3 linked regions of the Drosophila melanogaster genome follow. The protein of the gene in region 1 interacts with the protein of each later gene in a pairwise test. Each region holds a gene or a part of one and is shown on either strand. Other genes may lie near its edges.

What was found.
Region 2: the proteins of pix (region 1) and raw interact in a two-hybrid assay, tested with the Drosophila melanogaster proteins (one large-scale study listed by BioGRID).
Region 3: the proteins of pix (region 1) and SmydA-3 interact in a two-hybrid assay, tested with the Drosophila melanogaster proteins (one large-scale study listed by BioGRID).

What each region holds. Positions count from the first base shown.
Region 1 is NT_037436.4:8,968,686-8,976,499, forward strand, and holds pix (pixie), read right to left. Parts: upstream 6,081-7,814; 5' UTR 5,972-6,080; intron 5,733-5,971; exon of another isoform or gene 5,663-5,732; 5' UTR 5,662-5,662; coding exon 5,449-5,661; intron 5,387-5,448; coding exon 4,776-5,386; intron 4,717-4,775; coding exon 4,000-4,716; intron 3,943-3,999; coding exon 3,648-3,942; 3' UTR 3,371-3,647; downstream 1-3,370. Other genes in the region: CG5026 (uncharacterized protein), read left to right, coding at 230-388, 492-742, 813-1,200, 1,263-1,738, 1,798-2,210, 2,264-2,361, 2,418-2,495; Srp68 (signal recognition particle 68), read left to right, coding at 6,439-6,535, 6,640-6,989, 7,052-7,714, 7,773-7,814. UniProt on the Drosophila melanogaster protein: Plays a role in translation initiation and quality control of translation. Together with pelo and HBS1, is required for 48S complex formation from 80S ribosomes and dissociation of vacant 80S ribosomes.
Region 2 is NT_033779.5:8,736,460-8,743,992, forward strand, and holds the start of raw (raw), read right to left. Parts: upstream 4,202-7,533; 5' UTR 3,955-4,201; coding exon of another isoform or gene 3,926-3,954; intron 1-3,925.
Region 3 is NT_033779.5:10,845,643-10,855,209, reverse strand, and holds SmydA-3 (SET and MYND domain containing, arthropod-specific, member 3), read right to left. Parts: upstream 5,070-9,567; 5' UTR 4,951-5,069; exon of another isoform or gene 4,362-4,950; intron 3,970-4,361; 5' UTR 3,879-3,969; coding exon of another isoform or gene 3,523-3,878; intron 2,848-3,522; 5' UTR 2,693-2,847; coding exon 2,325-2,692; intron 2,101-2,324; coding exon 1,771-2,100; intron 1,658-1,770; coding exon 1,431-1,657; intron 1,377-1,430; coding exon 778-1,376; 3' UTR 606-777; downstream 1-605. Other genes in the region: Dnz1 (DNZDHHC/NEW1 zinc finger protein 11), read left to right, coding at 1-23; porin, read left to right, coding at 6,347-6,666, 6,742-6,969, 7,042-7,342; Porin2, read left to right, coding at 8,312-8,637, 8,704-8,928, 8,992-9,322.

The sequences.
Region 1 (7,814 bases):
AGCAGTGCCGTAAGTCCGCCAAATCCCCGCCAGAACCGGTGACGTACGCACTGCTGTGGGTTCAAAAAAGGGGACTCGAAAGGCGGGATAACCGTGGCGAAGAAGGGCGGAGGTGGAAGGCGGCGTCGACAGAAGCAATCAAGTGGCAACAGGAGATAGCCGGGGCAAAATGCAAAAAGTTAATTAGTGGGGGCCAAATCAAATCGGACACCCCGCCGAGGGCGACACCATGGAATTCGCCGACCTTATAAAGACCCCCAAGCTGGACGGTGTCCTGCTGCACGACCCATCGAATGCGGGGGCGTCGGGTGCAACAGTTGGCACACTGTGCATCACAGGGCACCATTTGCTGCTCAGCGCCCGCCAGGAAACCAGCCAGGAGCTATGGGTAAGTGGGTTGAGGCCTGCCCACCTAATCCGATGTGCTTCGGCATCAGTGGAGCGCTCATAATTGAATTAGAAATTCATCATGCTCATCCCCCTCTTTTCAGTTGCTCCACAAGAACATCGACTGTGTGGAGAAGAAGCCTAGTTTGTCGCAGAATATCGTGGTCGGTGGGATTATCACCCTGAAGTGCAAGGACCTGCGCATCATTTCGTTGGAGATAAAGTGCGGCAAGGAGTTCTTCAACGTGGCCGCATCGCTGGAGGCACTCAGTGCCATCCAGAACACCGAACTGCTCTATCCATTCTTCTACCGGCCCATGTACTCGATCCTAGAGGACGGCTACACGATGTTTAGGTGGGTACACGGCTTCTCCATAACTAACAAATTGGCTACAATTCAATTAACCTCCCCATCCAAACGACAGGCCCGAGCTGGAGTTCGCCAAACTCATAAGCGGGGTTGGCATGGGCGGTGCGTCCTCGCCGAATGTGGCCAACATAACAATTTGCATGCCATCAACTTCGACATCGACGTTGACTGTGGGCGCCGGCATTCCCCATCCTCTGCAAAATGGCTATGCGATAGAAGCCCTTGCGTGTGGTGTTGGTGGTGTGGGAGGTGGTGCGCTTCAAAGTCCCCAGGCCTCCTGCGAGTGGCGCATCACCAACGTCAACAGAGACTTCAGCGTCTGTGCCACATATGGCGCCACGCTAATTGTACCTAAAGCAATTACGGACGAGCAGATAGTGCTCTCCGCTGCGTTCCGCGATGGCGGCCGCTTCCCCGTGCTCAGCTACAGGCATGAAAATGGCGTAAGTCATTGCATCTACATCATCAAATTTTATTAAATTAATTCAATGATTCATATTTGCAGGCCACACTAATGCGCAGCTCCCAGCCGCTGTCCATTCAGGGCATCAAGCGCTGTAGAGCTGACGAGGCTATCCTTAATCTGGTGCTGGGTCGCAGTCGGAAGGGGTTCATCGTGGACACTTGGGGTAAGGGCAAATCGAATACGGAAACTGACCTGCACTACTCGCAGTGGAAGAAGGTAAATCGTTCAATTGGAAACGTCAGTTCGCCCGCCTCTATTTTGGACAGCTTTGCTCGGCTTATCGAAGCTTGCAACGATTTGGGATGCAGTACTGATAAATGGCTATCGCGACTGGAGAACAGCGGCTGGCTTAGTCTTGTGCTGAACTCACTGAACGCCTCCTGTGTGGTGGCCCAATGCCTGGACCAAGAGGGAAGTCCAGTGTTAGTGCACGGTGCTAAGGGGTTGGACTCCACGCTTATAGTCACCTCACTGGTGCAGATCATTCTCAATCCGGACTGCCGGACTGTAAGGGGGTAAGTAATCATATTCTCCTTACCTTGAAAAAGATATTTATGCCGTGTTCCCTTTGCAGCCTGCAGGCTTTGATAGAGCGCGAGTGGATCCAGGCGGGACATCCGTTCGCCTCGCGTCATCGCTACTCATGCTATACACCAAATCAGACACGCAATAAGACCTCTGGTGCCACCTTCGTCCTATTTCTGGATTGCATTTATCAGCTTTACACGCAGTTCCCCTGCAGCTTTGAATTCAGCACTCAACTGCTGATCCTTCTATTTGAGCACAGTCACTTTTCGCAGTATGGAACTTTCCTGTGCGATTCAGAGCGGGAGAGAAACGAACTGAATGTGCACACCAGGACGACGAGCCTGTGGTCTTATTTGAACCGGCCTGATGTCCTTCAGACATTCTTGAATCCGCTGTACGAGCCTAATGCCAATGTGATATGGCCATCGGTGGCGCCCATAAGCTTAGAGCTGTGGAGTGGTATGTTTAAGAACTTAATATATGAAACATTACTCATCAAACATGCATTTTAGATCTCTATTTGCGGTGGGTGATAGATCAACGCAGCTCAGTCACAGTCATGTCGCAAATTCAGGAACTTGTCACCCGCGAGAAGGAACTCAGGACTCAGGTAAGTCCACTTGAGTATTGATAGCGAAATGCTTACTGATGACATGTATCTTTCAGGCCCTCAAGTTGCGCAAACAAGCCATGGAGCTCGGCCAGGAAGTGTCCAACCTCATGAAAAGTGGAAACGATACATAGTCGGCTACCTCAAATGTTCTCTATCTTTTAATCTCCTGCATGATATACACTTATTTTTGATACGTTCTGTTGCAAGATTTCGACAATTATTTAAGCACATAGCAAAACTAATGTTAAGTCACTAAAAGTTCCATTTACAAGAAATTATGCTGAAGGAAAAAGAAAATAAACAAGGTAATTAAATTATTGGATAAACCATAGGATCTGCTTTTGGATCAACTGAAACACTCAATTTTAGACATACATGTGTCCATTTTTACTAACTATACTTCTATTGCATAAGTTCGGCAAAACAGTAAGAAAACTCTCCTTGTAAAACGCTCTCTACTCTCAGACTCAGATTGGGATTCGAAACAGCACAATGCAACTATCAAATATTTGGGTCAATTTTTGACGCATTTACTTTTATGGAATTTTTAGCGTATAAGTCTCCAAAATTACCTATTTATAGTACTTACTTGTGTCAGTTATTTAGTGGTCAACAAGCCACAGATCAAATTAAGTATTATAAACTCAAAAGATTTGCCTTTTTCGAAAAATTGTATGTAAATTTGATTAAATCGCATAAATTTAAAGCTTCAAAAGCGTTTACATTAAAAATATGCTGTGCATGCGTTGGTATATCTAAAAACAAATATTGTAAATTATATACTTATAAATGTTTGTAGCTGTTATTCATTGTGCGTCGATTTCGTATTGTGATCAAATTTGAAATGACAGAAATTTGTATGTAATTTACATTTGTATTGTGCGTATTTTGAGTAATTATCGCTTAAGTGCAATAAATACGTGTTAATTTGCAAACGTTAGCTCTTTTAAACTCGCAGGATTCTATGAGCACCACTTTAGAAAAAAGAACTTTCAAATGCAGTTTTGTATAAAGAAAATTGGTTTATTTTTGCTAGACTCATTTAAAACAACATTCTGTTGTTTCGGTTCACTATTTATTTCGCTGTAAAAACGTATATAAAACTCACTTTAATCAAGTACAATTAATCCCCAATTTTCGATTGTACGCAATCCTCGACAACAATAACAAATTAATTTGAAAGCAAATGTGTTCTTCAACGAAAGAATGCAAAATGAACGAAGGAAAGCTGAGGAGAACATAGAGAAACGAGCTGTCCCATCGAAGTTGCCCGTGATCCTGTCTTAGTTGCAGGCTTCGTCCTCCAAGAAGAAGAACTGGCCGGAGCGTTTCTGTTCTGTGTCCTTGACCGAATTGTTTTTGTTAATGCGGGGTCTGAAGTTGTTGGGATCGCGACGGAACGTAATACCAAGCAGTTCGAGGAAGCGGTTCATGCCATTTAGCAGCGACTGCGGCGAAAAGGCTGTCGTCTTCACTGAAGGCTGACCCTCGATCACGATGACACGGTCGGCGAGGTAGGTGGCCATGATGAAATCGTGCTCCACCACAAATCCAGTTTTCTTGGCGTGCAGAATGTAACTAAAACGAGATACCATCAATATTTGTGTGCAGATTTAAAGTCTATGTAAAACATACCGTTTGATAACCTTGGCGGCCACCAGACGCTGCTCTGAATCCAAGTAGGCAGAGGGTTCGTCGATGAGGTAGACATCCGCTGGCTTGCCAAGACACAGGACCAAGGCGACTCGCTGCAACTCACCACCGGAAAGGTTCTGCACCTCCTGGTCCATGATTTCCTCAATTTTCATGGGTTTCATAACATCGGCAATAAACTGAGGATGCACGTAGGCGTCACGAATCTTATCGTGCAATAAATGGCGAACATGATTTTGGAATTTCGGGGAAATCTTCTGGGGCTTGTAGGAAATATTCAGCATAGGCAGTTCCACCTCGCCATCGGGTTGGAGGTTACCGGCCAGCATGCGAATGAACGTCGTCTTTCCTGTACCGTTCTCGCCCAGGAGCACCAGGATCTCGGAGTCGCTGAAGTGACCCTTTTCCACCGTCAACTCGAACTTGCCCAGGGTCTTGACCATGGCGGGATATACGTAGTGGTTCATGCGCTTGATCTCCTCCTCCGTAGCGGACTCAGATACTTTGAAAGTAAGTGACTCAGTGCGGAATCGCATGTTTTCGGTGGGCACAAAGCCATCGAGGAAAATGTTGATGCCTTCGCGCACAGAGAAAGGCATAGTAACCACACCGTAGCAGCCGGGAACTCCGTAAAGGCAGCATATAAAGTCAGACAAGTAATCCAGCACAGACAAATCGTGCTCCACCACAATAATAAACCTGCATATTACAGAACCACGTCATAATTTTAAACAATGGCACATTATTCATCAACTTACTTGGTGGGATGCAGGAGTGATCGAATGGTCAAGGCAGCGTTCAGACGCTGCTTAACATCCAAATACGAGGACGGCTCGTCGAACATGAAGATGTCTGCATTCTGTATGCATACCATGGCGATGGCAAAGCGTTGCAGTTCTCCGCCAGAAAGCTGAGCGATCTCACGATCACGGATGTGCGATAGATCCAGCATTTCACAAATCTTAGTCTGCAGCTCCCTCTCGTCCTTCTTATCCAGAAGATCGCCCACAGCGCCACGCACCGCCTTGGGGATCTGATCCACATACTGCGGCTTGACCAGCGCCTTCAGATTGTCCTCCAAGATCTTGGTGAAGTAGTTCTGCAGCTCGGAGCCGCGGAAGTAGCTAAGGATCTCCGTCCAGTCGGGCGGATTGGCGTACTTCCCCAGGTTCGGCTTTTGTTTCCCCGCGAGGATCTTCAAAGCGGTCGACTTGCCAATACCGTTCTGTCCCACAAGACCGAGCACTTCACCGGGACGCGGAATGGGCAGACGATGCAGCTTGAAGGAGTTCTTGCTGTATCGATGCGTTGTGTGCTTCTCCAGATTGCTGGGCAAGTTGATGATTGTGATGGCCTCGAAGGGGCATTTCTGGGGAATTGAAAGCACGGGTTATTCCGGGAACTACAGCAGTTGTAGGTAAGCTGACCCACCTTGACGCAAATACCGCAACCGATGCACAGCTCCTCGGACAACGAGGCTATCTTGGACGTGGGCGTCACCTCGATGCAGAGCTTGCCCATGCGCACCACTGGGCAGGTCTTCTTGCACTCCTGCCGACACCGTTTGGGCTTGCACTTGTCATCGCTGACGATGGCAATACGCGTCTGCTTGTCCACCTCCTCGTTCTCCTTTCTGCGCGACATGCTGTTGATAGTTTTCAAATGAGCAAATTAAACAGAATTGGCTTCGATCCACTAATCAGCCGCCTATATGATAATCAGTCCATTGTCAACGTTGCAAATCACCATCCCCGACCGTCAAAACAAAACTGGTGCACCGATTCATGGACACAAGAGCGGGGGTGAGGTGCCAGCGTTTGTCAGTGAGTGAAAGTATAACCTCAAAGCGTGGCCAAAACAATGGGTTTCCACCATAAATTTCTATTGTCTCTCATGCGTCAGGCATTGTTCTTAAATTTCACGTTGACAGAGTGCTGAAATATTTGAAATTTACCTGCGAACTTGGCCGAAATTGTTGTAAAACAGACAGAACGCACGCTCTTGCGTGTCAGCCAACAAGTTTCAAAAGGGGGGAGCTTTGATGAGTTTCTCAACACTACTACGAATAGGGATGCGCCGTTGAAACTATCGATATCAATAAGTGGGCTTGAATTTCGTATAGCATGTTTATAATTATTTATTGTTTTGTGCAGTTATTTTTACATAACATAAGTTTTATAATGTTTCAGGGATTTTATTTAAAGTAAGCTTAGTGACAATCAAATAAAATTTATAACTTCTATCTCTCAATATAGGAACATGTAATTTCCGAACTGATAATATATCCTATAAATAAATATAAATATATATCGCACAAGAGCCGCTCTTAATAATATCGATTATTTAGTGTTTTTGACAATCCCATTGGAATTGCAATCACTAATTTTTACACGTCGTTGATTTGTGTCGACTGCTAAGAAAATGGTCGTGCAAGAAGATAATCCAAATACTGGGGACGTTCAGGAAAAGACGGAGACTGCTCCGGTGGCAGAGCCCTCCAAGATCTTCACGGTGGAGAGTAAGTGCCCCAATCGCCTACAGCCAACTGCCAGGTGGCCCAGACGCCCAACCATTTAACCTAAAATTTAATGCTAATGCCCTGAACTTTCACTCCTGCTGCAGTTCTGCACATGATTAAGGATGCCCAGCAACAACACGGCCTGCGCCACGGCGACTTCCAGAGGTACCGCGGATACTGCAGCCGCCGCATCCGTCGATTGAGGAAGGCCCTGAAGTACCCCCAGGGCGACAAGCGGCACTTCAAAAGACGCGACGTGACCATTGGCCAATTGACAGGCAAGAAGGCGGACGAGCGTTTCATCCACATCCCATTGATCTGCGCCGAGCGGGCCTGGGCGTATGCCATGCAGCTCAAGCAGGAGTCCAATACGGAGCCGCGAAAGCGTTTCCATCTGGTCAACAAGCTGCGCAGGGCCTGTTTCTATGCCCTCCAGCTCCAGGAGTTGTGTAATGTAAGCTGTAACTCACTGTTATGATTAATGTTTATTGAGCTTCATTTATAATTTTCTTGTAGACGGAGGCTTTCGATGCGCGCACTAAGCTAGAGTGCGAAGCCTATGTTGCCTGGATGCACGGAACCCTGCACTTTGAGCTGCAGCTATGGAAAACCGCTGGCGAGCACCTAAAGCGCGCCCAAGTGGTGTACGAAAACCTGGGCAAGGCTCTGCCCGAAGATGAACAAGAGCTTTACCGCGCTAAGGTTAATGAATTTACGCCCAATCTGCGCTACTGCGCCTACAACATCAGCGGTGGCGCCAGTGGCGGCAAGATCGACGAGATCCTGGAGCTGCGCGCTCAGGGAGTGCTTGAGAATCTTGACGTACTGGTCAGTCAGACAAAGACGGAGAGCAGCGAGGGCCTGCAGACGATCGACTGGCGCGGTCGCAAGGTCACCGTGCGTCCGGAGAAGGTGCGTTTGTTCCTGCTCAGTGCTCAGGAGTTGGACAAGTCGCTGGCCAAGACCACCAAGCAGGATGCCAAGATAGAATTGATTGAGCGTATTTTGATGGACTGCAAGGATGCCATCCAGGCCGTTCGCGACGAAATCAAACAGGATCCCAAGCTGCGTTCGTTAACCACCGGTCAGACCGTATCCGGCGTACAATATCTACTGGCATATTTAAGTTATATTCGCCATAGCCGTACACTGCAGCGTAATCTTTGCCTAGTGGAACAGGTAGGCTCGTAAACACAACGTTACTTGGTTATCTTATGCAAAAATATTTCCTCCCCAGGCTAAGCTCAACTTTTACGATCCCAACCTGCAGTCTCAACAA
Region 2 (7,533 bases), on another chromosome or scaffold:
TGGAAACTCAAATGAAAGTCAACATAATCTATAGTGCGTTTGAAAATTATATTGCCAAGTCCAGGATCTTATTATACTAATATTTAAATGGACTTCGTTAATGTTTTAAATTTCAAGAATATTTTACGAGTTAAACTTACAAAAATTCATTTATTTAAATGGGTTAATGAACAGTGAGGCCTCATTATTAACGGTCGATTGGTTTGCAAGACCATAGCTTTCCTAAACGGACTGTGCATTTACATTTCTATGGATCGAAGTGACTTAGTCACCTGGGTCCAAACCGATTTGCTCCCAATTACTAGTTATCACGGTTACTCATGTCCGAAAAAATGCGAATATAGATTGTAGTTGACCGAGAGTTTGGTGACTAACTAATGATGGGACTCCCTTCGGCACTAATTTGACTTTTTTCTGTGGATCCACCTGGGTATTGGCCAAAAATAGGAATACCAGGTAATGCTATTTCCATAGCGTTTCCCTTTTCCATTTCGTGGGTGAGTGTCAACAGCTGTTGTGGGCGTTCTAAAGACTATTTACCAAATAGGTGGCCATATATACTATACAAAAAAACTCACCTATTTGAACAGCTAAAAATGCGAATAGAAATCTGGCTATATCTGCCAGGCCGACAATTTATTGATGCCGCTCGAAATGGGATTAGGCGCGCGTGTAGGTGAACAAAATAGCCGCAAAAAAACTATATATCTATATTAAAAAAAATCGGTCTCGAAAAAAAGAGGGCGTTGCTACAAATTATAATGTATGTCAGGGTTTGCTCTTGGCACTTGTTTCGCCCGCCTCGAATGCGAAAGTTCAAAAGATTTTTGCGCACATGTCCAAGACGTTTGCTTGGGCTCTTTGTTTTAGGTTTTTGTTGGTTTTTTTTTGTGTATTATTTGCCCTGCTTGTTGTTTTGGCCAAAAATACTCAATTTTGCACGGCACCAGCGGAGGAGATGCTGTCATAGACGCGCCTTTTATGAGCATTTCGCGATGATGCCATGCGACTGTGGGTTATCTGGGGTTGTATGCTGGCCAAAAATCCATCTAAGCCTTATTAATTGCTGGCCACGGGTTGAGAACAAGGTGAAAACATTTTTAATTGCGGTTTCGGATAATCGCGGATTACACTTTTTGAACGTACTAACAATGGTAGCCATTATTTTGGGTATTTAATTGGAGGAGATAAAATGGGATAACATATTGTTGATACTTTTATACTTGACACACAAAACACAACAGAAGATGCAGATAAGAAAGTGATTCCTAGTTGTGATTGTTTCTATTTTCCTAACATCTTTAGTTGGGAAAAACAAAATTACTGCATAATTACAATATAGTTTGTAGTAATCAAATATTTGCTATTGGATAACTTGTCATTTCAGAAGAATTAGATAAGATAACAAAATACAAAACAATAATATTTGTACTTCAAATGGAAAACAATTTGGACTTTGTTAATTTGTGGATAAGGTTAAAGGAATGCAACAAGTGTAAATTATGTCCAATCCAATTGATATTTTAAATACATTGAAAGTAAGTATTGCGAATTTTATATATTTTTACTAAGTATTCAAAACATCCATATACTGTGAAATATTTTCGAAACGAATCATGTAGCTTAAATGGAAATAATTGACTTAAACAATGTGTTCGATTAGTCAGTCAATTGCTGTCCCACTTTTCAGACAGATTTTCCCATCCTCTAACCAAAGAAAATCTAGAACTCACCTCACCCACGAATTTTTGTTGTTTGATTGGCAACCGATTGTCGGTTGATTGACAAACTGTTTGAATGTGTGCGAGGAGGGGCAGTGACTTTACGATGACATGGCTAACGACTATTGTATACCCTTGAAACGTAACCTTCTTGCTTCTTAAGCTAATACTATTTAATAATAGCAATTGATTTAGAGAGCATTTTACCTTCGGCTTCAGTTTGAGGAAATTTTATTTATGTTTCTGCCAGCTGATAAGCGGCTGTCGATTGTTTTTTAGGCGCTAACATACGGACAACAATTCAATCAAGTATCCATCACAAACACACGCATTGACAGCCGTGCCCAGATAAGCAAATGGTTGGATAACAAAGGCCTACACAGATAATACCAATCGCAAACACAGGGAAGCATTCGGGTTTGTTTGTATGCGTGAATATTTGCTATAAAGTCGAAAGAAAAAAAGTTTATCGCACGCAAACAAAAACGACCTTCGGTAATGATGCCTTTGTATTTACCTAGCCATATTAATGTCGCGTCGGTTTCTTATTGCCAATTTGCCATTTTAAGGTACAAGTATATTTTCGAAAGCATACACGTTAAGATTCCGTTCTTCTCTTCCTGGGTTTTTATGTGCAACTGCTGCTGCATGATTGTAAATATTTTGGGATTTCATTTTATTTTTCCCTGGCACGCTTATTCATTTCCCGCCTGTTTACATTTTAATTGCTCGGTCAGCACTGGCGTTAAAATTTTTAAATCAAGAAGATCACAAAAGCGTTTTCCCTCGCATTCTCAACATTTGTATCTCTCTTTTTTTCGGTCAGCAAAGTACACCGCATATAGAGTGCCCTACAAAATCTGAGTACTAGTTAAATATTTATTCCAGTGAAATAGACTGATAAAAGGCCAAACAATTAATCTTAATACGCAGAAGTACCGTTCAAGATTGTGGAAAATTTCGAAAATTTTATACGGTGCTCTTAAAACATTCTGAAACAAACTGAAACAAGCGACCTAAAACTTATTTTTAAGTGTATTTATGTTTATAAGCCAAAATAAAATCCTACAAGTTTAAAACATTTTTATTGCTTAGATAATTTATTTACCAAAAAGTTATCACGAATGCAAATATACCTGTGCTGCAGTTACTGCTTCTCCGTAATTGCTTTCTGTTTTGTATAACAACAATAATATTTATTTCATAATATTTACTTTATTTTCCAAACAGTGCATTGTTATTTGGCCGGTAATGTTTACTAATTTGCGTGCTGTTGTCATTGCAAAAAATGTACCAACATGTTACATCTTTGTGCACTTTTGTTTCCGGCTTTGTGACAATTGAGTGCATAAACTTAATTACTGTCAAGATGTCACAACAGCAAGGCAATTGGATGATCGAGTGATATACTATTTGTTTTCAGAGATATAAGGAAACACTATGAAGACTCATTTCATGCTTTATGTGTTCGGGAAATAAAGTTCTTGAACATTTCATGTATACAACACTATTAATTATAGTATTCTCAATTATTCTCTTTTGATTTGTACGTTGTTTACTGCTGGCAGTTTTTTTTTTAAATTTCTTTAAAAATTACGTTTTTTTTTTACCATTCACAACTTTGGCCTCCAACTTAGTGTTTACTCCTTTTCTTGAAAAATGAGGCTAAGAAAGCCTGGGAAAATTACCTACACATCAACAAAGTGTAAACAATGATTTTTGTGAAAATAGACCAAGTTTTTTAACTCGCACACAAAAGCACGGAAATTGGCGAAAGAAACGAATTCAACTAACGGACGAAAAAGCTTAGGTCATTGACCAAAAAAAGAAATAACATTGCAAAGAGCGCTAGACTGCTCAGCTCTCTCTTACTATTTCTCTTTATAGTTCGAACACGTTTTCCAAGTAAAAATCCAACGACGCCACTTTTACCTGCGTTTGTGTGTGTGTGTGCATAGGTGAGTGAGCTCCCCACTCACCTATGCACACACACACGCGAGCGGTACAAAACCATTCTGTTATTTTCCTTGTTTACAAAAGCAACAAAACCAAATTGTTGTTATTGCTTTTGTATTGCTACCAAAGAGGCGCGCTTACGTCATTCATAATATTAAAGCGCAAAGAGAGAGTCTAGAACTACAACAACAGCAATAAGAGCACGAAAGCAATCTGGCACATGCTGTTTTTGTTGGGACTGAAATTACCTGAGGAATAATTTAACCATTTTGTGCATTTTGCGCTCTCTTCTCGACTATTTTGTTTAATCAATTCTTTACGGCAGCTCCATTGTTTTCAGACCGCACTCTCATTTGCGTGGAGCCGATTCACTTGGCACGTTTTAGAAAAAAACAAAACATCCTTTGGTTTATTACTCAGCAAGCATTTGGTTCACTGTTGTCACATTTTAAACAATTAGTTTATTGTATTTGCATTAGGAAACTGTTGGGTTCTCTTTAGATTTCTAAATTCGTCTCTGGTGTGACCAGCTGGTGGAACGGCGAAAATACTATCGAGTATTTGGTAACACTAATGCTTGTACAGAATGTTAACATTTGTGAGTGAATTTTGTAAGTTGGTTAACACCACGTAAAAACTGTGAAACTTATTTAATTAATATATATTATATATTAAAGCATGCTGTCTTTGCAGCAGTGCTGATATCTTTTATAAAAAAACAACTTAAGATGAAAAAGAGGTAAAATATATTGTAAGAGTTCACATTTTCGGTACCTGATTGTTTCCATATACACTTGGGTAAATAAGTACAAAATTCATTTGTCGAGAAAAAGTTACATTGGCACCATTGTATAACAGTTCAAAGTTAATGATGTTTGATGCTGCCAATGTAAATTCTTCAGATAACGAGCCTTGCCATCTTAATAGATTAGGAATACAAGCGTTGCCACCAAAATTTTAACGAACGTATACTCAGTTGTATTCGATGGTTGTTGTCTTGGGTGCATGTAAAAATTAGCAGAAGAGCACTTTTTTGTGTTAAAATTAACATTTCAATAACATTGTAAAATTCTGTTAGGTAACAGTATCACAAATTTAAATCTATGTTATATTTGCTCTGATCTAACTTTTGCAAATTATTCAAGATTATTTTAAAATCCTGACATCGTGGGTATATCTGCATTATTATTAATGAAATGTTGTATTAACAAAATACGGAATGTGGAAATTAGAAAATTTTTTCTTTAAGATAATAGAAAAATTAGTAAAATCTTAATGTTCCCTTTTTAAATGAAAAATGTCTTTTCGAATAGTTCTTATTTACTAAATGTATATAATTTTGATTTGGAAGTGCCACTTCCAAGTGATATCAAGAATTAAGTGCTTGTGGCTAGTCATATCTGAGAAAGTGCATGAAGACTTGTAATACTTTGCCGCCTCTGCTGATTTAAGTATATTTTTAAAAGACAATTAAATGATTTGCCTGCAAGTGTTGCAGTAATGAATGGACCCAGAAGTGTTTGCTTCTTAATTGGCAATTTCCTAATGGCGAAATGCGTTTTGCACCTACTTTAAATGCCACCTTGGCGTATTGTTTTGGCTTAATTTAAATTACCTGTTTGAGTAATGAACAGTCTCAGCCACGGGCTGCAACAATAATAACGCGACTCTCAACTCATTATGCATTGTTTATTGCCACTCAAAGTAGCATTTTCACCCTCTTTCCAGCATTTTCCGAGCACTGCAGCATTACTCTTAATGCATGTGCAACAATAGGAAACTCCACTTCCACTTTTCTTCGCCCACCAACTCTTCTTGTGCACTGATATTTGGCTTTTCGCAGAAACAGTCGGAAAAACAGCAGCCTTTTCCTTAACATTTTCTTGTAAATAAATATCTATTAATAAGAAACTTACATAAATCATTTAAAAGGTGTGTATATATAAAACTATAAATTAAGAATTCGCTATTTATAAATAATTATGAATTGAATAAGTAAATCCCTTAAAATCATTTTGCTAGCAAAAATAGCAATTCAGTTATTGAATGGCCCCATTTTCATCTAAACTGGGATTTTCCCGATAGCTTTTCCTCGCAGCAGTAGGATCAGTGCAGTCACCGGATTTATATTGGCACATCCAGGTGTTCCTGGATGGCAAGTCAAGTCTGGCACTTCATTATGCACATTAAGATACAAGTTCTTTTCGCACTGACGAGGTGGTATCTTAACTTAATTTAACCAACTAGGGGCCAGCGGGCGGTCCTCTGAGGGGGCGGGTTTTCCGTGTGTGCCGCTAATGGGCTTAATAAAAAATGCAACATTTTGATTTAATTTAATTGAAATTCACGCCACTCGAGCAACTCCATTAGGCAGAAACGTGTCCGACGTCAAGGATGCAGATGATGGCAGCGTCGAGGAAATCAAATTACCCAGCGGCAGTGGTTCTAGTGTGCGAAGAGGGAGGCGGGGGTGGTATGCCGCAGGGGGCGGGACTGTGGGCGTGGCCGTTGCCGTGGCTTGTAGCAACTCAAATAAATATTGTCAAAACACTTGTCAAATGGCTAAACAATGGAGCTGGGACGTGGTCAGAGCACGGTGCACTCTTCTTTTCCAAAAAAGGGCGATATCAATTGATACTACACTTCAAAAAATTATGTTTTAAAAAGTATTTTTATCAGAATATATTGTGCCTGTCAATATCCAAGATTAATACCACATATTACTAGGAAAAACTCGAAATCTTAAATAGAAAACTTTACAAATTGATACGAAAAATAATATTTTATTACAATATCTACAATACATTATTTAACATTGTTGCTTATATAAAAAAAATATATACATATATATTTTTTAAATAATTTTTTTTTCACCTGCTCTTTGATTCTAAGTTAAAGACTTCTTCGAGTGTAAGGCGGTCGTGGGTAAAAAAGTGAAACTGGAACTGTGCGCAAATCAATTTGATTCGATTTAAATTTAAAAGCATCTGCACACAGGCATTCATCACCTCCATCACTTGGACAATACCACCCAGAACTCAGTGCCCAGTTCCTTCGTCACCATCAGCCCTATCCATTTGCCATCCTCAGCGATCTTGAGAGTGATTTTCATGTCGGGGTCACGTGCCGCAGACGCGTGCCACTGACATAAGTTTTCAGTTCTAGATTCACAGCTCTTCGCCGAGTTCGAGGAAAACAGGGGACTTGGAATTAAGTCGCGCCACAACCACAAGGCAGCGGGAAAAAAAAGGGTCGACACTTTTCAGTGGGTGTTTTTGGTCGAGCGACTTGTTTGATTTAGTTAAGTTATCAGTTTAATTGTATTAGCCAAAAAGATTTCGTTTTTTTTTCTTAATTCTGCACGCGTGTGTGTGCTGATTAAATAGTATTTATGTTGTGTAGCTACAAGCAGTTGGAAACGCCTTAATCTGCAAAGTGTGGCGGTGACATGGTTGAATAATCAATATAATTACTAGATTTCGCATGCAATGAGATTGTATCTTTTAAAATTATTGTATTAACTTGCTTAATTGCATAAACGGAGTTTTATTGAGTAGCCAATGTTAATATCTTTCCATTTCTTTCTTACCAATTGTGACTCCTTTCCACTTGGCCACTTGAAACGCAGCATTTCCCACGGCTAACTTAACCGATTTGTCCAATCGAAGGCGACAGCCACACAGTGGCCAAGTACATCCTGTTCACCTGTTCACCTGGAGCCCCGTCGCTTTGGAAGTTCTCCAAACTTTGGATCAAATCAGCCGTGGAGGTGTCAGTGTACAAAGGACGCGCCCTGACACGCGTCTGACGTTTATTGGTGCCCTCCAGCTGCAGCGAAAAGTTTTCCCGAGCGAAA
Region 3 (9,567 bases), on another chromosome or scaffold:
CTCTACTGAGCCACGAGGTCTAGGGTCAGGAAATATTCTTTATATTTTGTCCTTGCGTTTGCTGTGCGGCTAAAAGAGCCCCCGAGTGTTTTTAGTTTTTAATCAATGTGTGTGTGATTATTTTTAAACGACCTATCCCCCTGCCCGCAGCCAGTCAAATTGAATCGTATTTCGTTTTGTGTATTATATGCAGATTCCAACTTAATTTATGCTTTAGTTTATAATGTTTTAAAATTATAAATACATAGAAAGCAGCAGCGTGGCGGCCAACAGGAGCATACTCAAAATGAACACGGCTATTTTGTAAGTAACTTTTTGCAGCTGCTTGCTTTAGAATGCCAGCGAATGTTGCGTTGATTATTTGTACACCGATGCATTCTTTGGCCACCCGGTGTATTTTTTACCAGTATCCAAGTAAGCAGCACCTTCTAGTTTGAGACGTAGAAAAATCTCAACTGTATACAATACTACATAGCAATATGTACCGAGCTAGAAACTAAGTCCTTATCAAAAGCATTTACGATATACCCGAAGAATGACGCATATACCAAAAAGGAAATAAAACGGAGATTAAACACTCAAATAGAAAATACTGTGCATCATTAGTTTGTAATAATTGTAATCACTGTTTAGTTTTGTAGTTTATTGTTCTTTTGACATTTACGACCATCGACCAGCGCACCAATAAGATTTTAAATGTAACACCAACATCAGCAGTTTGTGTCCCTAGAAACCCAGAACTGTTCCCAATAAAGCTAACCGATATGCATAAGTCAATCAATCGAGTTCGCTTCCCAGTCCCTCGACGCTCAGTGTGAGCTGTTTCAGCGCCTGTTTGGCCACAACGCACAGCACTCCCTCCTGGGAGCTCTTGTCCTCGAACTCCAGGATCTCCACACACTCCTTCAGCAGATCTATGGCGTCGACGAGGCGGGCACGCAGCTCGCCGCCCTTCAGCTTGCCGGCTATGAAGCCACTTTTGGCCAGCAGCACCAGTGGCACGTGCAGCTCGTAAAGATTCATGGCGCGTGTTCGACTCAGACCCGGTTCGAAGGTGTTCAGCACTCTCAGCACTTGGCGGCATAGCTCCGCCTTGCGCTCCAATTGGTGGTCCGGCAGTTGCACCATCTCGTAGCCCTGTACTCGCCCGTACATCTCGATGAGCAACTGCCTCAGCCCGGTGGCTATAAAGTGCAGCGGATGCAGCAGTGATTTGTACTTGCGCAACAGTCGTTCGATCTCCTCCAGCCGCTTGGCTGCCATGGGCAGCGCTTGCACGGCATTCACCTCGGATTGCAGGGATTGGAGCATCGCCAGTGCATCCGCATTGCTGGTGTCGGAGCCACAGTTCGCGCAGTTCCAACTAGTGTCCGGTTCTGCGTAGTGGATAAGGTCAGCTTATCACTTTCTAGAGGATCTTTTTCGCTCACCTGTTGGCTGCCTGGGCACTTGGAATCCCTCGGCGCACTGACCACACTTCAGGCTGGAGAAGTGCGTTCCCAATTCGGTGGGATCCAGACAGCGTTCGCATTGGCAGGTGAAGAACTTGCCCTGCTTCAGGTGCTTCTGTCTCTGGGCAGTGCCATCCAATGTGTAGGTGTAGCTGTGGTGCAGGGGCTGACCCTCCTCCAAGTCCACCATGGCGCGCAGTCGGATTCTTTGGAAGAGAAACAAATATAGGAGGACTTATTTTAGATGTGCAACAGCGGAAATGTAATTCTAGACATCTTGAACTAGAGAACTGAATTTACAAATCTATTTACAACTCACTTGTATCCCTCGCTGGGATAGATGCTCCTGGATGTGTTGGGCACGCAGTTGTGGGCCAGAATGCCGGTATAGGGAAAGAGGCACCTCAGTGGATAGCCCTTCGGGCTGCGCGCCTCGAAGGCGTTCACCTCCAGCACACCCACCACCTGCATGATCAGCTCCTCGCTGAATCGGTTGGCCAGTTGGCAGGGACCGCGCAAATACTGAGCGATATTAACGCGATCCGCATGCCAGACATCCGCGTCCCTTTGGCGCTCCTCCTTGTGGTGCTCCATGGGTGCCACCTCGTTGTCCCATCGCTCCGGATTCGCCTCCTTGGCCAACAGAACTCTGAAAGTAGAAAGTTTAAAAGGGTATTCCAAATGACAATCATATGAAGCACAACAAGTAACCTATTGATTATAATTAGCTACATTAAATTAAAAATCTTTCTCTTTTTTAATTGTTAATGAATCCTTTTGTATATAACTTTCATCTTGAGCGGATAAAATAGTGACGCTATCAGTTTGCCTGGTGCCTGGTGGTCTATTTTTGTTCCACCCGCTGGGCTTCACCTGAGCGGCATAATACAGTCCAATTGCGGACAGTGCCTGCTGCCGCTGGGCAGGCGGAAGAATCGTGCCCGAGCATCCTTCAGCTGGCTGCACTCCAGGCGGAAATGGGCGTTATCCGCTTGTTGGGCGCACTCCACGCACAGCGGCCAGCCACATTCGCTACACAGCTCCTCCTCCGGATCTGGGTTGGGTTCGTAGCAACCCAGGCACACCACCGGTCCATTGCACTTGGGCCCGACGGCAAAGGGCAGCTCCTCGATCAGCAGACCGTGGCCACGGATCGCTCCCTTGGCCACCAGATAGCGTCCGCAGACCGGACTCCACTGAACCGCTGTCCTATTCACCGACAGCGTTGGCGGCGATGTCATTTCGCTGACTGATGCCGGCTGGCCGCACTCAGATCTCAGATCTCATGTCATGGGCACACCCCACAGATGATGCCTCCTCCCCACTACATGACTACATTTCTGCCTGCTCCGACATAAAGCATCAAAATTGCTGGGCACAGTGGGCATGCGAGGTCCTAGGTGAGAAATTTTAGTTTTGAACAAATTGTCTTGAGAAAACATTGTTCAATTTCTATAATAACTAAAATACCTTACATTTTCATAAATTAAATAATTTACTGGTTGTAACTTTTAAGTTGCTTGTAACTTTTAAGTTGCTTGTAACTTTTAAGTTGCTTGGCTTTGTTAGTTCTATTTCTAAGTACTAAGCACCGATCTATTTAAACATGTGCTTAACATTATTTAAATAATAATTCACAGTGCTTACAGTTCAGTTTTGCTACGAAATATATAAAAACATGATGGTACATTGATCATAACGCGCCGCAACTATCATATACCAATTATTCTGTCATAATAATATGTACAAATATGGCTTGTTTCATGCCATAATTTTCTCCTTACTTTCATGCACTTTAAATTTAGCTATTTATTTTTTATTTTCTGTGCGATTTGCTCCACTGTCCCTTTCACAGACTTGTTAATCCATCCGTCCGCCTTCTTTGACGTAGAGTCGCCATGAGAATCTGTATATGCCGGCTAGCCTGCGAACTGCGAGAAATGGGCCGCTGCTGCCAAAACTAATATTCGGACAGACCGCCCAGGTTCCCCTAGTAGCACCCAGTAGCCCCTGCTGTACGGATGTACCCAGCACCATCACCCCCGCCCCGCTGGAGCGCCCGCGAACTAACCTCAATATGGTTATGCAATCCAACTGCGGGCAGACGCCATCATCGCTCACATTCCCGGCGAAAGTGACACGTGCGGCGGAGAAGACCTGGCACTCTCCGCGGTGCTCCGTGACGTCTTCGTCGTCGGCGCACGATCCGCACAGCGGCCAATCGCAGAGTTCGCAGCGGTCCAGCGAATCGCCGTCCTCTCCGAACTGCAGGAACTGGTAGCAGCCCAGGCACACGATTCCGCTGTCGCGCTTCGGTCCGCGTGCGAAGGGCAGCTCCTCCAGCACCAGCTCGCCCCGCTCCACGGAGCTAGAGGTGGCCAAGCAGCGTCCCAGCACGGCGTCCTCCTGCAGACGGGCCTTCAACATTCTGTCGCCGCACGGCAAATGCACTGGTCTCGCTTTTGGCCCATCCGAATGGGATTATGCGGTCGATTGGCGGCCCTGCACGCAGATTCGTCTAAAAATAAAAAGAGCATCGCACACACTTCATTGGTGTCAATCAATAAAGTTGTAATATATTTATTGCATTTTGATTGCTTTGGATTATAACTTTTTTAAAGCCCATTTACTTGTCCACAACTTTAAAGTTTTCGTTTGCAGGAAACCCTTTTATGTAAAAAAAAAACACTTTGATGTAAGTTAATTGTTCTTAAGATAACGAATTTCTTAATAGAATGATTGAATTCTAATTTCAATAATTATTTTAAGTAACCGTTAGTTTTCAAATTTCCGTTACAAAAAGTGTGACCATTGCCATTAAGAGTGACGCAGCGTTACCAGATAGTATATCTGCGGCTTGTTTTAGGGAATAATTATTGGACGAATTTTTAGGGTTGGTAACACTAAGGCACAGAATTACAAAATTTTTTGGTGTACGTTTGTCGTGGTGTCTCTGTTCCTCTGCGTTTCGCATTACACTCTAACCAAACTAAAACTCATCAAAAGTAAGTAGCTCAGGAGTAAACCCCCTCAAAATTCAGTGAAATGTGATGGATACCCCTATGGGTAGAAGGAAAATCAGGATTTTCGGTGCCAGTGATTTCATAACCTCGAAATGAAAAAATTGCAAGTAGACACGCGCATGAACGAAAAGCAAAAGGGCTGAGCACTTTTTTGTTGGATGACGATGGGCGAGCTTCTTATCACCAAATCACGCAATAATTAATTGATAAATCCGAAATTTAAAGGGGATATTAAGCCGGTTAGCTGTCACACACACATCCACACATGAACAGTCCACGCACACCAATGCCTTCGCAGTTCATTGGCAGCAGCTGCCGGCGAAAAAAGGGGGCAAAGAAGCAGAGAGATCGATGGAAAAGTGCCTGGCGAATTTCCGTTACGTAACGCATGTCGCATCAATTCCGTTCGTTATCGTCATGTTGCCATCCACCAGCGTGCAGCTCGCTCAATAAACATTTTCGATTTCACTCTTTACCGTTCTTTATCGTCGTTTTGTTTGTTTGTGGTCATGTGAGGAGGTGGGTGCACTTCGCGATTGTGGGTGGTATTTTCGCAGTGACGTCACCTGGAAAATCAATAGACCACCTTTTCGGGCAGCTATTCACTTAGCTTTCCACTTTCCCTCATCGATTTCCCTGCTGTTATGCAACTGTCGAAAAAATGAGCTGCACATCCACCCAACCACCCCCTTTATAATCTGCTTGTCAAGGTCATCGTCAACGAGATGCTGATTCATTTTCACCGGGACATCCACCTGATAGTATTATTTTCAGCATCTAGTGACCAGGTTATATCACCTGACTTCCGGAACAATAAGAGCCCATCCCATTTAACGTTTGGCTGCCGGCCATAAAGATTTTTGTCTGCTGGCCGCTGCTTTTCATAATTTTCTGCCTTGATTGCCTTGAGTTTCCCCCCACCAATCCCCCCGAACACAACATGAAATATTTATATTGTTATATCTATATAATAATTTCAATTAGATGTTTTGGGTTATTTTTGTTTGATTTTTTTTATGCTCAATATCGGATAGAAATTTATTTATCCGCGACTAATATTCCTACCGCGACTGTGAGTCGCATTCCTGACGTCACGCAAATAGAAACAGCGAAGCAGTGACCACAGCAGACGTTGCAAATGTGCAGTTAGCTTCTGAGTCAATGATCGCTAGCCTAACGGGACTGAACTGACCAGCAATTAATGCCAGCAAGAACGGAACGTAAACATAGAGAGAGGCAAACCTGTGGCCAGATAAATAGGGAAAATCTCAGTATTTTTATTAAAATTTTAGTTTAAAAAACCTATAAAAATATTTGAAAAATAAATTTTGATTTAAATGGTTTTGCATTGGTATAGAAAACCCTTAATTTCTTGGAGTAAAATAGACTTAGTCACTATTTGTTTTCTATCTTCGCTTCTATTTTTTGCGCCACTTTATTTTGCCCAGACGTGCATTGACCCCCTCCTCAGTCACTCAGAATTTTCGCTGCTTCAGTTGGTGATTCTTTGCATGTGGCCGCCTTGAACACTAATCTAAATTGATTTCTTTATTTTCGCCGCACAAAATTGACATTTAGCCAAAGTGAAAATGGGGAAAAAGCCCTCGAAATTCTTGGGACATGTTGATGCTGTTTTTTGGCGTCTTTTAGTTTTCACTTTTCATTTGCGGCCGATAGAACATTTTGAAATCAAGTCGAGCAAAAAGTAATAATCATTATGTTGCTGATAAGATTAAACTTATCGTTCGCTAAACGCAATTAATGACCTGGCGAGTGAAATGATTTCGCAATAAGTATCATCGTCATGATTATCGATTATTCACCAACTAATTGAAGGTGCGATTTAATGCATTCCATTTCAATCCATTCCAGATGGCTCCTCCATCATACAGCGATTTGGGCAAACAGGCTCGCGACATCTTCAGCAAAGGCTACAACTTTGGCCTGTGGAAGCTCGATCTGAAGACTAAGACCTCGTCGGGCATTGAGTTCAACACAGCCGGACACTCCAACCAGGAGTCTGGAAAGGTCTTCGGCTCCCTGGAGACCAAGTACAAGGTCAAGGACTACGGCCTGACCCTCACCGAGAAGTGGAACACAGACAACACGCTGTTCACCGAGGTTGCTGTCCAGGATCAGCTCCTCGAGGGTCTGAAGCTGTCCCTGGAGGGCAACTTTGCTCCTCAGTCTGGGTAAGGATCACATGTTATTACATATATGTTCACTGCAGAATAATTAATATTGCATATTTAATTAAAAATCGTCAGAAACAAGAACGGCAAGTTCAAGGTTGCCTACGGCCATGAGAACGTCAAGGCCGATTCGGATGTGAACATTGATCTGAAGGGCCCCTTGATCAATGCCTCTGCCGTGCTTGGCTACCAGGGATGGTTGGCCGGCTACCAGACCGCATTTGACACACAACAGTCCAAGCTGACCACCAACAACTTTGCCCTTGGCTACACCACCAAGGACTTTGTTCTGCACACAGCTGTGTAAGTATTGCAATTGCCACGCATGGCAAATGAAATCAATGCAAACTAATGATTGCCTTGTCCGGTGTTTAGCAACGATGGCCAGGAGTTCAGCGGCTCGATCTTCCAACGCACTTCGGACAAGCTGGATGTGGGTGTACAGCTGTCGTGGGCCAGCGGCACCAGCAACACCAAGTTCGCCATCGGCGCCAAGTATCAGCTGGATGATGATGCCAGCGTGCGCGCTAAGGTGAACAACGCCAGCCAGGTGGGTCTGGGCTACCAGCAGAAGTTGCGCGACGGAGTCACCCTGACCCTGTCCACGCTGGTCGATGGCAAGAACTTCAATGCCGGCGGCCACAAGATCGGTGTGGGTCTGGAGCTGGAGGCCTAAGTCCGTGGTTTTCCGCTAGTCGTGAAATCCTTGAACGTTGTCTAACATCCCCACACGCCCAACAACAACAACAACAACAATAACAGCAGCCAGACAAGTGCAGAAACAACAACAAGATCAAACAAAATAAAAGATACGATATTCTTTAAAAACAAACAACACACAGTCAAATATAAAGAGAATCTGCACATCTTAGCGATTCGATTGGATTGGATTAGTTGTCAGCCGGCCATCACCACATCCGCCCATTCCCTGCCCCAGCCACGCGAATCTGCAGGAGAGACACTGCCAAACAAACGATGCAGGGGGATGGATGGGTGGTGCAATCGATGGGTCGGTCAGGTCAGTCCGTCGTCGTTGGATGTAGCTTTGATTAGTGCATTGAATATTAGCGAAATTGTTGTTGACAAAAGTGCAGTAAAAATACATTTACCTATTAAACGAAAAAAAAAAACAAAATGGAAAAGACGGAATATTATGGCTCAAAAGGCATTGCATTTTTTTCAGTTCTCAAGGCTTTACGGATTGCCTGCAAAATCCTGCGGCGAAACTAGGACACACATAACACCAAAATCACATCCTTAATAACAATCTTTACCTTTTCGTTGTGCATTTACCTGAGAAATAAATCGAGAAGAAATAAATTATCTTGATTGCAGCGTTGGTGGTGGAAGGCTTGGGAATGGTTAGCTTAATTTAAGGATTTAAGCTTGAAAGAAAAAACTGTATAATAAGATAAGTACCTTATACTGATCCCAAGTTCTTTGTGCTTGAAAAACTTAACTTTTTCGGTTGGGCACAGGACTCCGTGCGTTTTAGTTCACAGGTCTCCAGCGTGTATAAAACTCGATACTGATCAGGCAGCGTTAGACATAAATTTTCGGCTAATCGAGGCTGTTGAAAAGTAGACAAAAAATTTCGAAATTAGTCGGGCCATATATACCATACCACCTATTCATACAGCCCGTAATGGCCGCCAAAACACCGACATACCCAGATCTGGGCAAGCTGGCCCGCGATCTCTTCAAGCGCGGCTACCATCCGGGCATCTGGCAGATCGACTGCAAGACCCTGACCAATTCGGGGATTGAGTTCTTCACCACCGGCTTCGCCAGCCAGGACAACAGCAAGGTGACCGGCTCGCTTCAGAGCAAGTACAAGATCGAGGACCAAGGCCTGACCCTAACCGAGCGATGGAACACGGAGAACTGGCTCTTCGGTGAGATTATGCACCGGGATAAGTTGGCACAGGGCCTGATGTTGGCCGTCGAGGCCAAGTTTCAGCCGGGATCAAAGTGCGTATTCCTTTGGGGATCGTTTAGGTAGCATCCTTTAATTATATAAACATCTCGGGTCAACAGTGAGGCGGATGGCAAGTTCAAGATGGGCTATGCCCAGGACAACTTTAACTTCCTGGCCGACATTGGACTGAACTCGGAGCCGATACTCAACTGTTCGCTGGTTGTGGGCCACAAGGAGTTCCTCGGCGGCGTGGGCACCGAATTTGACGTTGGCAACACCGAACTCAAGGGCTGGAAGGTGGCCCTTGGTTGGACAAATGAAACTGCCACCCTCCATGGCGAGCTGTAAGTTCCCCGTGTGACGAGATGTGGGAAGACTTTATCTTATGTCTTTTAATCAATTTGCAGGAAGAACGGCGACACCTGGTTGGCCTCGCTGTTCTACAAGGCGAGCGAGAAGATCGATGCCGGTATCGAGGTAACCAAGGGAGCCGGCGGCGGCGAAGCTGCCGAGGGTGAACAGCAGGGCGGAGATGTGGTCGTCAATCTGGGCATGATCTACCACTTGGAGGAGGATGCCCTCGTACGCGCCAAGGTCAACAACCTGGTGGAGCTGGGCCTGGGCTATGAACAGAAACTGCGCGACGGCATCACCGCCTCCATATCCGCCGTGCTGGATTGCAACAACTTTAAGGACGGAAACCATCGGTTCGGCGTGGGAATTGCCCTCCAGTGCTAAAATGACTGCCAATCACTTAACGATTTCAATTTCTAAATTTATTTTTAAGTTTATCTTTATTCAAATGACAAATATATTTTGTTCTTCATAATGGCAATATAACAATCTGAGTAATTAATTAAGCAGCTTAAATACAGGCTGTAAAATATTACAAATTAAAAGTAAATAATCTTGTTAATTTTGATCACAGCTGCTTCGATATTATTATCCAATTTCCAAAGAACTCCAAAATTTCAAGTGTGTTT